2 linked regions of the Drosophila melanogaster genome follow. The protein of the gene in region 1 interacts with the protein of each later gene in a pairwise test. Each region holds a gene or a part of one and is shown in the gene's direction. Other genes may lie near its edges. The genes, in order: stw and SamDC.

Evidence for each region.
Region 2: the proteins of stw (region 1) and SamDC interact in a two-hybrid assay, tested with the Drosophila melanogaster proteins (one large-scale study listed by BioGRID).

What each region holds. Positions count from the first base shown.
Region 1 is NT_033778.4:5,411,880-5,416,946, forward strand, and holds the start of stw (straw), read left to right. Parts: upstream 1-1,864; 5' UTR 1,865-2,072; coding exon 2,073-2,202; intron 2,203-4,216; exon of another isoform or gene 4,217-4,513; coding exon of another isoform or gene 4,514-4,538; intron 4,539-5,067.
Region 2 is NT_033779.5:10,337,770-10,342,265, forward strand, and holds SamDC (S-adenosylmethionine decarboxylase), read left to right. Parts: upstream 1-1,687; 5' UTR 1,688-1,745; coding exon 1,746-1,849; intron 1,850-2,382; coding exon 2,383-2,469; intron 2,470-2,541; coding exon 2,542-2,710; intron 2,711-2,763; coding exon 2,764-3,042; intron 3,043-3,097; coding exon 3,098-3,190; intron 3,191-3,238; coding exon 3,239-3,394; intron 3,395-3,456; coding exon 3,457-3,612; 3' UTR 3,613-3,734; downstream 3,735-4,496. Other genes in the region: GATAd, read left to right, coding at 250-347, 463-639; CG31715 (uncharacterized protein), read left to right, coding at 3,913-3,996, 4,053-4,163, 4,381-4,464.

The sequences.
Region 1 (5,067 bases):
TTCAGTTCGTGGTGGACGCCGAACATAAGACCGAGAGCCTTTCCCACCAAACAACACAATTTTGCTCTCATCTGACCACAAAATGTTGCGCCACTTCTCCACAGGCCAGTCCTTGTGTATCTTGGCATATTCGAGTCGCTTTGCCACATGCTTAACAGTCAAAAGCGGGACTTTTCTGGGACTGCACGCATTAAGGTTGTTTTGTCTTAAGCGTTTGCGAACTGTTTCCACGCTTGCAGCTATCTGAAGCTCCTTCTTCAGTTCCGTCGCCGGCTTAAAAGGCTCCTTCTTGCTTTGCCGAACCAAGCGCTTGATCTCCACGTTGGACATTGAGGGCTTTCTTCCACGTGTTTCGTCCTTTTCGACAAACAGCATTGTGGATCATTTTGTTTGAACACCCGACAATTCGACCAATTTCAGCGTAGGTTTTACATTCAGAGATCATGTTTTTAATCAAATTTCTTTTTTCGACGGTACAATGCTTTTCGCGACCCATAACTAGAGAATTTTTGGTCTTCGTTTGGAACAAATTCAATTAAAACCTTTAATACAACTCCTTTTTTCAAAATTTGTCGAAAAAAATCCCAAATCACTCCTATTAATTTTATTCAACAAATACGTGGTCAGTGCTATTTTTGTTACCGTCTCATTTCGCGCGCTTTTGCAGCAAGTGCCCAAAAACAAAAAGAACCGTTACATTGAGAGAGTAAAAATTTCTTGCTCAGAGAGCCAACATATGGAACTTATTATTCATGAAATCTGACTTAAAAAAAAATAAACATTTTATAATTTTTTTTTAGCAAATCAACTTTCCATCTGCAGTAGTGCTATTATTTTAACCGCAGCTGTATGTACATATGCATACATATTCATATATTTAGTATCGTATATTATGTATAATTATAAATCTATGTGCTTCCTCTTCTATTTTATACATATACATTCTTACCTATTAATTATATACTTTGGAAGTCGGAACGAAAACGATATAACCATTGGAATAATCAAAACAAAACATAACAAAATATGTTCCATTTCTTGTTTATAATTTTAAAGTGCCGTTATTCACTTTAAAACACTTTTTGATAACATATGTTTTTGGTTCTTATTTGATAAGCATCCACTGTATCAATTATTTAAAAATATTACAGAGAAAATTATAATTTTGTTGTATTTGATCATAAATTGTTCTTATTCTTTTTATAAAAAAAAATGAAACATGCATTCATCTCCAACGACTAACTAGCTTTAATATTCTACGTATGTATTTATATTTACACTTTCGGTGCGCTATTTTATTTAGCATTTTATGTTTGTAGTCATGTGTTGCATACCTCTTAGTTTCGTCAATTCTTTTCAATTGATTTTTGTACACATGTCATTTGTTTATAATAGTAGTAATACTTTAAACAAGTATATTATAACGTGTTTAAGAATTTGCATATATGTGCTGACTTTTTGAAGGTGCCCTATACATATGTAAACCTTTAATAAGTAAAAGTAAAAGCTACATGCAAAAATCTCAGCACAGCACTTTAGTATTCATTTATTTGAGATCTATTTGTCTGAACTTTAAAACATTCCCTTCATATGATTTAGGCAACAACAATACAATAAAGATCCGTTATATTTCGTTTCATTTTCTTTTTCTATGCTTTGGTAAAGCTTTTGTGAGGTTGCGGCAGCTCTAGACTCGACCAACTTGCTCTGAGATCGTGATCAAGTTGGCTGCTGCAATTTCTTGCGCTCTCTGAGCCATGTCATGATTCACTGAGCCATTCCTTTCCCTGGCTCATTCGTAAGCTCGTTTTGCAGTAACTTTTCTACTTAAACATTTTATATAGTCGTACGTATGTAGCTACCGCTTCAGTTTGGTGCTTAAACGCGTTGCTCGTACTTCATTAAGCCGTAATCAATTCAGGTGGTGTTGCTATTGCTTAGTACACATACTTTAAAAATATATAGTCTTATGTTGTGAACATCCACCCAAAGTATTGTTAAATAGCTTAAAGGAATTAATAAAAATACAAGAAGAATAGTGAAAAATAAAATTATACGCCATTCATACAACTATGAAAGCCATGGATCTTAACGGATTTTACCAAACTTTTATTTCGTTCCTGATATGGGGTGCATTTTCCAATTTTCCTGAAGTATTTGCAGTACGTGTTGCCAACTCACAGCAAAATCAACCTAAGAAAGGTAAGGAAATCCCATCTTGGTAATTTTTTTCACCTAAGAAGTCTTGAAATATCATTTTGTGATTTGTCGACAGTACATATTCCTTTCATTAAAATGATTATTTAAGTGCAATACGTATATACTCGTATACATCTAAACATGACTATATTTCCAAGGGGTGTTCCAAAGATTTGGGGGATCTTTTGGGTATCTTTACTGTAAATTAATTGGAATGTTTTGCAGGACAAAACGTTGTTTTGCCACACTTGCTTTCCGTTATCGTTTTCATAAGAATATATATATTAGAATTATAGGTTGATTATTTGGCCAACCATATATTATATGGATCAAAACATTTTAAAACTTAAATACCGTCTTTACCTATTCAACCCATACGAAGTAGAATAGTAAAATTATACACAATTAAATACATATGTATGTGCAAATAAAGTGAAAGGGAATAAATATTCAAACTAAAGAAAAATTGAATGGTTTAGGAGAAAGAGCAGTGCAAGTCTACAGATTTAGGGAACTGGCCATATTGGACCCAATGTAGATAGATAAACGTACTTTCTAAAATTTTCCCATACGACGGGCTGGAATGGAAAATTGCCTACACTTTAGGTAAAATTTTCGAAACAAACAAACTACAATATTAATCGCTCTTTTCTATATTTCTTATACCACAAAATTTTGCTTGTATCTGACATTATTTTTGTTATTTATTAAAACTTTTTTTATTTAAATTGCCTTTTTCATCAATATATATTAAAGTTAACAAATTTATAAAGAAATCAAAATATTTAGCCTTCATAAGCTTACACTGGTTTAGCCTACCACTTACTTTGCGCAATAATGTTATACTTTTTTAATTTTACTGATAATGGTATTTCTTCAACTTTTTAATTGCTGAATCGCTGACCTTGTCAGATGTTAGCATGCTACTCCCTACAAATTACGAAAGTGCGAACACTTCAACAAGCTTCAAACTTTTAAATCGTTGAAACCCCGATAATAAGAAAACTCTGTAAGATTAAAGTAAAACAACAGGATTTATTTACTTCGGTCTTAAATTGGAAAGCATTAAAAAAACATATTAAGATCTTTGCTAATAGTTTCTAACTTACTACATATGTACATATGCATGTAACTAAAAGAATTTAACAACCAACATAAATAAAGATATATTAGATAAATACTAGTGATTTCTTTTGTCAGACCATTTAGTAAAAGTTATTTGTAAATTTTTTAGCTGAGAAAGAAAAGTAAGAATTTTTAGACTTTAAGAATAGTGTATAACTATTTTGAGTGAGTCTTAAAAATTTTTTTTTTGCAATTTTCATGGAAAATAATATCAGCAGATATGTATGTATGTTCGGATAATAATATTCGCAGATTTATGTACGTTTGTCATGAAAGTTGACTCCTGTTTTCAATTCGGAGGTCGTCATTTCCATCATTTTTTGGTATGATCTCTTAAAAACTATTCCATAGTTTTTTGTAACCGATTGTAATTTTTATTAATTCACAAAAATAATCTATGCTTCATTGCTTTTCGATTTAGAATACACACCAGATAAAAAAAGAGATATCCGAAACGCACTTGAAAAAAGTTTTTTCGCTTTCAATCGAAATTTTGTTTTGAATTTTAATCTACACATCTTTTAGAAGCTGTGTTAGCGATTTATGTCATTAATCAAACACACGTTTTAAGTGTTGAAATCCAATTTTAGCAATAATATGTCAAAAATGAAACTCAGGAAGGTGATCGAATTTTTGACCCTTTTTCAAAAATACATGTACATAACTTCCTAAAATGAAAAGCCAGTTCAATTTATTGTATATGTATTGTATTGTATATGATTGAAATGAGGTGATCACAATGATTTTGTGCATTACACTTGGAGTTAGGCTTGTGATTTGTTGAAAAGGGTGAAAGGGAAAGTCTAGCCTTAGACTACGTCATTAAAACTCATTGTTTGCAGTTTATGTTTATATAAATATATTATATTTAATGCGGTTTTTACTTTTTATAAATTATTTTTCTGTCATTTATATCTTTATTTGCCTACGTTACACTTACTAATACTCTTAATTATTTGTGGTATGGTCGACAAAAATTAACCTAGCTGGTGGTCGCGCCTTTAAGTTTCTTAAGTTACTTTGAAGAACAATGTCCGCCATCCATTTGCGCCTCGCTCTCTCTCATAGCTGACCAAAGGACTTGTTGACATACGCGACATATCTAGAAGCTGGTTGTGATATTTTAGGAATACATGCATACGTTATTATTTCGAAATTTTCTAACGGATAAACGGGTATTTGATAGTTGATGTACTCGTTTTTTGATCATTCAAGTATGTGCAGATATGATTTGAATATACATAAATTATAGTATAATTTGGTATCTTCCTTAATTAACATTTTTCTAAGTGGTCCTTAACCAATAAATACAAATGTTTTATTTGAAATGAATGCAACATCAAAATACAAATTTATTAAGCTTAAAACCGGTCTGCAAGGGGTATTAAATGGTGCAGCCTTAAATTATAACTGATTCAAGGTGACTTCAAACTGAAAATTTGTGTATGTATGTACGGGCACCCAAACATATTTATTCAATGTTAAAGACAATACAATGGTATTACATTACTAAACTTTAACTTGCAAAACAGAAATGCTTTTTTTAATCAACACATTTTTTTTGTAATGTTATCGTTGCTGAAAATATGATAAAGTTGTTAGGTAAACCCATGCTAGTCATCTCTCTATTTCCATGAATACAAACTAACAGAGTAACATACATATGTGACACGTACGGAATGTGGGACTGGTTTCCGATTGCATTTATACAGTCCCAATATATACATACCTACAAACATATGA
Region 2 (4,496 bases), on another chromosome or scaffold:
AAACAATTTATTTTTCTGTTAATATGTTCATTAAGCTATTGATTTAGCAATCGGAATATTAACCGCGTACCCACCCAAAATATTTTCTTGCTTGTCCAATCATATTTTATGATGTCATTGTTGTAGATGGCATTGGACGTGCCTGTTAAGTCGTTAAACTGCTCAAGTTTGAATAAATATCTACGAGCCTTTCATTATTAATTGTATGATTTATTTGCGAAAATTATAAATATACACTTTCTTTTGCAGAACACAAACAAATGTCATCATGTTCTTCAATAGAAACAACGAAGCAAGATTTCTTGACGGCTAGGGAATCTCTAGCCATTTCGGGCCTTGTTTTAAATGTATGTATCTGCACTATTACTTTAAAGTCTTGATAAGTAGATTGATCAACTAGATCTATTTGCATAAGATTTAAATACACTTAAACTTCAATTTTCTAATATGTTTTTATTTTAGAAATTCAAAAAGGAAATTGATGATACCGAGACCCCAGCCGCAGCAGCACTTAAAGATATTTTATCAAGGCGTAAGAAGTCAAATTCTTTGCCGGCGTTTAATGATACCTGTGAAAGTGCGGATCTATCCGCACCGCTTAACCTTGTTTCCAGTGAAAATAATGCAAAGTTAACATAAAACGCCAAATATATTCCCCCTACTCACTTTTCGAAAAAAAAAGAAGAACCTTTAACCCACATTTTGTTTATTTATGAGGTCGCGTAAGAGAGAAAAACAAATGGTATAGGATTAAAAATACGTATAGATTATTAATAAAATTTTCATTCTTTAAAACTAAATTTTATTCATTTGTATCTTTAAAAACTAATACCAAAATACTTATTAGTGTAAAAGAGGTATGAAAATTGAACCAGTATGTCAAAACTTTTAAATAATATCACACTAAATATAGACCTTAAGAGAGGACATCAATACTTAATGCAATTAAATTAAAAATAAAATTTATTATATTTATATTTATTAAAACCATTTTACAGTATTTTTAATTTTTTAATAACACAAATCGCTTCTATTAAAATGAAAAGTTCAGTTTTAACAATGATTTTTCAGCTGTCTTTGCAATTGAACAACTTCTAAAGCTAAAAAATAATAATGTTTTAAATCTCTTGCCTATACGAAAATCATGTGATAATATAATAATCTCCACAAAACATTTTAATAGTAAAACTATGCAAAAAGCAATAATCACGCAATGCAAACTTTTCAAGGAAATATTTAAATTATATACAATTATAAGAAACTAAAAAACTTAATGCTGTTTTCGAATCTACATAAATTGTCTAAATAAAATAAGGACTTCATAATAGGCTAAGATACAAAAAATATTACTCATTTATTTTTTCAAATAAAATACTCTATACAATTTTTAACAATCACAATAAAACTGGTTAATGTAAAATGAAAATCCAAATTCTACTGTTTTTTTTTAACTATTTGCCTGGGGTATGGGATAAGCAACCGAAAAATCTGTTAAACTAATGATGAGAATTTGAAAAAATATATATTAAAGATATTTAAGTATCTTAATTCGAATAGAAAGGGACTTACATTTTTACCGCCGACTGTTCAATGAGAAATGCTGTAAGTGGAAACATGCTGTTAGACTCCCGAATTATCGATGTAGTACAACAAGCACTCGCATCGATAGTCCCATCGTTTACTTTACATCACCAGGCGTTGTTTTGGTATCAGATCAGATCCATTTGTTATTGCCAGCCAGCAGCATGTTGGAGAACGGTTCGCACTTCTTCGAGGGCGTTGAGAAACTCCTTGAGATTTGGTTTGAGGAGAGCTCCAACGGTGACGATGATCTGCGTAACATCAGCAGGTGAGTCCCTCAACAAGTGCGGAACCCAAACAGCCGACATGTCCTTTGTGCACAAGTGCATGCACAGTTGCGGGCAAAAGTATACGTACATATGCGCCGTTCATTTTCGTCCTGAAAAGAAATGAAATGTATTTCTACACTGATAATTATCTTTTAAACATAACATAGTCCCATTGGAATAGGTTACACATTGGTTTTTAGGCTTATCAGATGCGGCACACGTGTACCTACCCAAATTAAATTGAAGTTTTTATTTATGATTCTCAAGATATACAAATTTGATTTGAAATTTCAAGAAATTAGTTATTAAAGGGAATTTCTTTTTAAACTGGCAGCCTGTAGAACTTTGTAAATTCACTTAGAATTAAGCTTTCAAAAATCGGTCTTAACCCTTGGCCTTGTTTGATAACGAGTTTTAATCAATCCCATTAATCCAATCCTCATTATCTCAAAATAAATTTTGGTCGAGGCATTGTGTACATGTTTATTCAAATAGCCTTGAACTTTTAATGAATGTAAATGATATTTTTCAGATCTGATTGGGAAAACGTGCTTAGCAATGTCAACTGTCAAATAATAAGCACATCCAAAAACGACATTATTGATGCTTTTGTGTTAAGGTATGCGAATATATAAAACTAAACTTAATAAAATATTATTAATTATTTTAAATTTGTATTCGGTGCGAGCAGTGAGAGCAGTATGTTTGTTTCAAAGCGACGATGGATCCTTAAAACTTGTGGAACGACTACTCCATTGAAATGCCTGGGTCAGTTGCTTAAGCTGGCTGAGGCCAATGGATACAATGTGGTCGCAGACTTGTTCTACTCGCGAAAAAATTTCACTAGACCGGAGGCGCAGGTGGGCAAAAAAATTAATTGCATTTCAAATGATTTTATATCATATATATTCAGATAACTCCCCATCAAGGCTTTACGGAGGAAGTTACGTATCTGGACTCAATTTTTCCCAACGGAAGATCCTATTGTCTGGGCTCCATGAACCTGGAGTGTTGGTACCTCTACACTTTTAGTCGTTCTGATATCAAAATTACGCCCCAACTTATATCGGATGAGAAAAACGTTGACTCCGATCCAGATCAAACTATTGAAATATTAATGCAAGATCTAGATCCCGAAACCATGTCAATCTTCTATAAAAACAAGTTTAATGATGCTAATGGCGCTACTGTGGTATGAGGATATATTTTAAATGATTAAAACCAATACATATAGATTGTGATTTCAGAAATCTGGTATCGATACCATATTGCCGACTATGCACATTGATGACTTTTTGTTCGATCCTTGCGGCTACTCCATGAATGGAATCAACGATAAGGTAACATAGAAAAATTTTACAAGAACTATTGACATAAATTCTTTATAGGGGGAGTACATGACAATTCATATTACTCCGGAGAATCAATTTTCGTATGTGAGCTTCGAAACAAATGTGGCTCTAAGTAACTATCGTAAACTTATCAATCAAGTAATCAATACTTTCAAGCCGGGAAAGTTTATTGTAACCATCTTTGCCAATAAGGTAAGCTGTTGCTCCACTTTTTGTATAATTATTTAAAATAATTTTCGAATATTGTGGATCAGTGCTCGTTGGCCTACGAAACTATGAAGGAACTGGAAGTGGAGTACTCACAGGGATCGCACTGGAAACGAACCGACATGCAATGTTGCAACTTTCCATCTTACAATCTTCTGTTTGCACAATATTCCCACAGTGAGAAAACTGGTGATAATTTATAAAATTCCAAAGCCAACAGCAATTGTGATTGTTTTGCGTATGTCTAACAAAATTTATTTTTCGTTCGTTATTAATTATTCAAAATAAATGTCGAATAAATAAAATAATAAATACTACTACTACTAAATAACGTACAATTACTTTTTAAATAGACTGTTAATATAAAATACTAAAATATACCAACACCCTGGATAATTCGCAAATTCCAAATGTAGCAAATAATTATCGGATCTGAACAAGTGTCACAGGCAAAGTTCCATCCCTAGCAGTATTTGACAAGTCGGCCCAAAAGAAAAATAAAAATGAGTGCGATTTCTAATGAAGACATTATTTGGACCATAAAGAACGGAGAGTTCGATGCTGTGCAAGACGCTTTTCAGAATGATGTGCGCTGCTAATACTCTAAATAATTTTGGAATTAATTAATTCTATTTGTATACAGGCACAAAAGGTGAATGAGGAAATCAAGGGCCGTTTTCCAGTACACTATGCAGCAGATTTTGGACAACTGAATGTCCTGGAGTTTCTTATAAGCTTAGGAGCAGACATAAATGTAAGTAGCTCACAATGCCAAATTACTCGGCCATGAATCATTAATGTTTCGTCAGTTACTGGTTTCATATATTAGTGTACATATATACACGTCTGCACCACCTTCATTTGTTTAGTCATAGTCTCAAGCTAAACAAATGAACCAGGTGTGCACCTAAGACATGCCGGTCTTCGTATAATAATAGAACTTAATTGTAATTAACTAATATTTATTGAAGAGAAAGGACAAACATGGTATTACCCCCATTCTGGCTGCCATTTGGGAAGGACATACGAGCTGTGTGGAATTACTTCTAAAAATGGTTTGTGCTTCCTTGTTTCTACATATACGCCA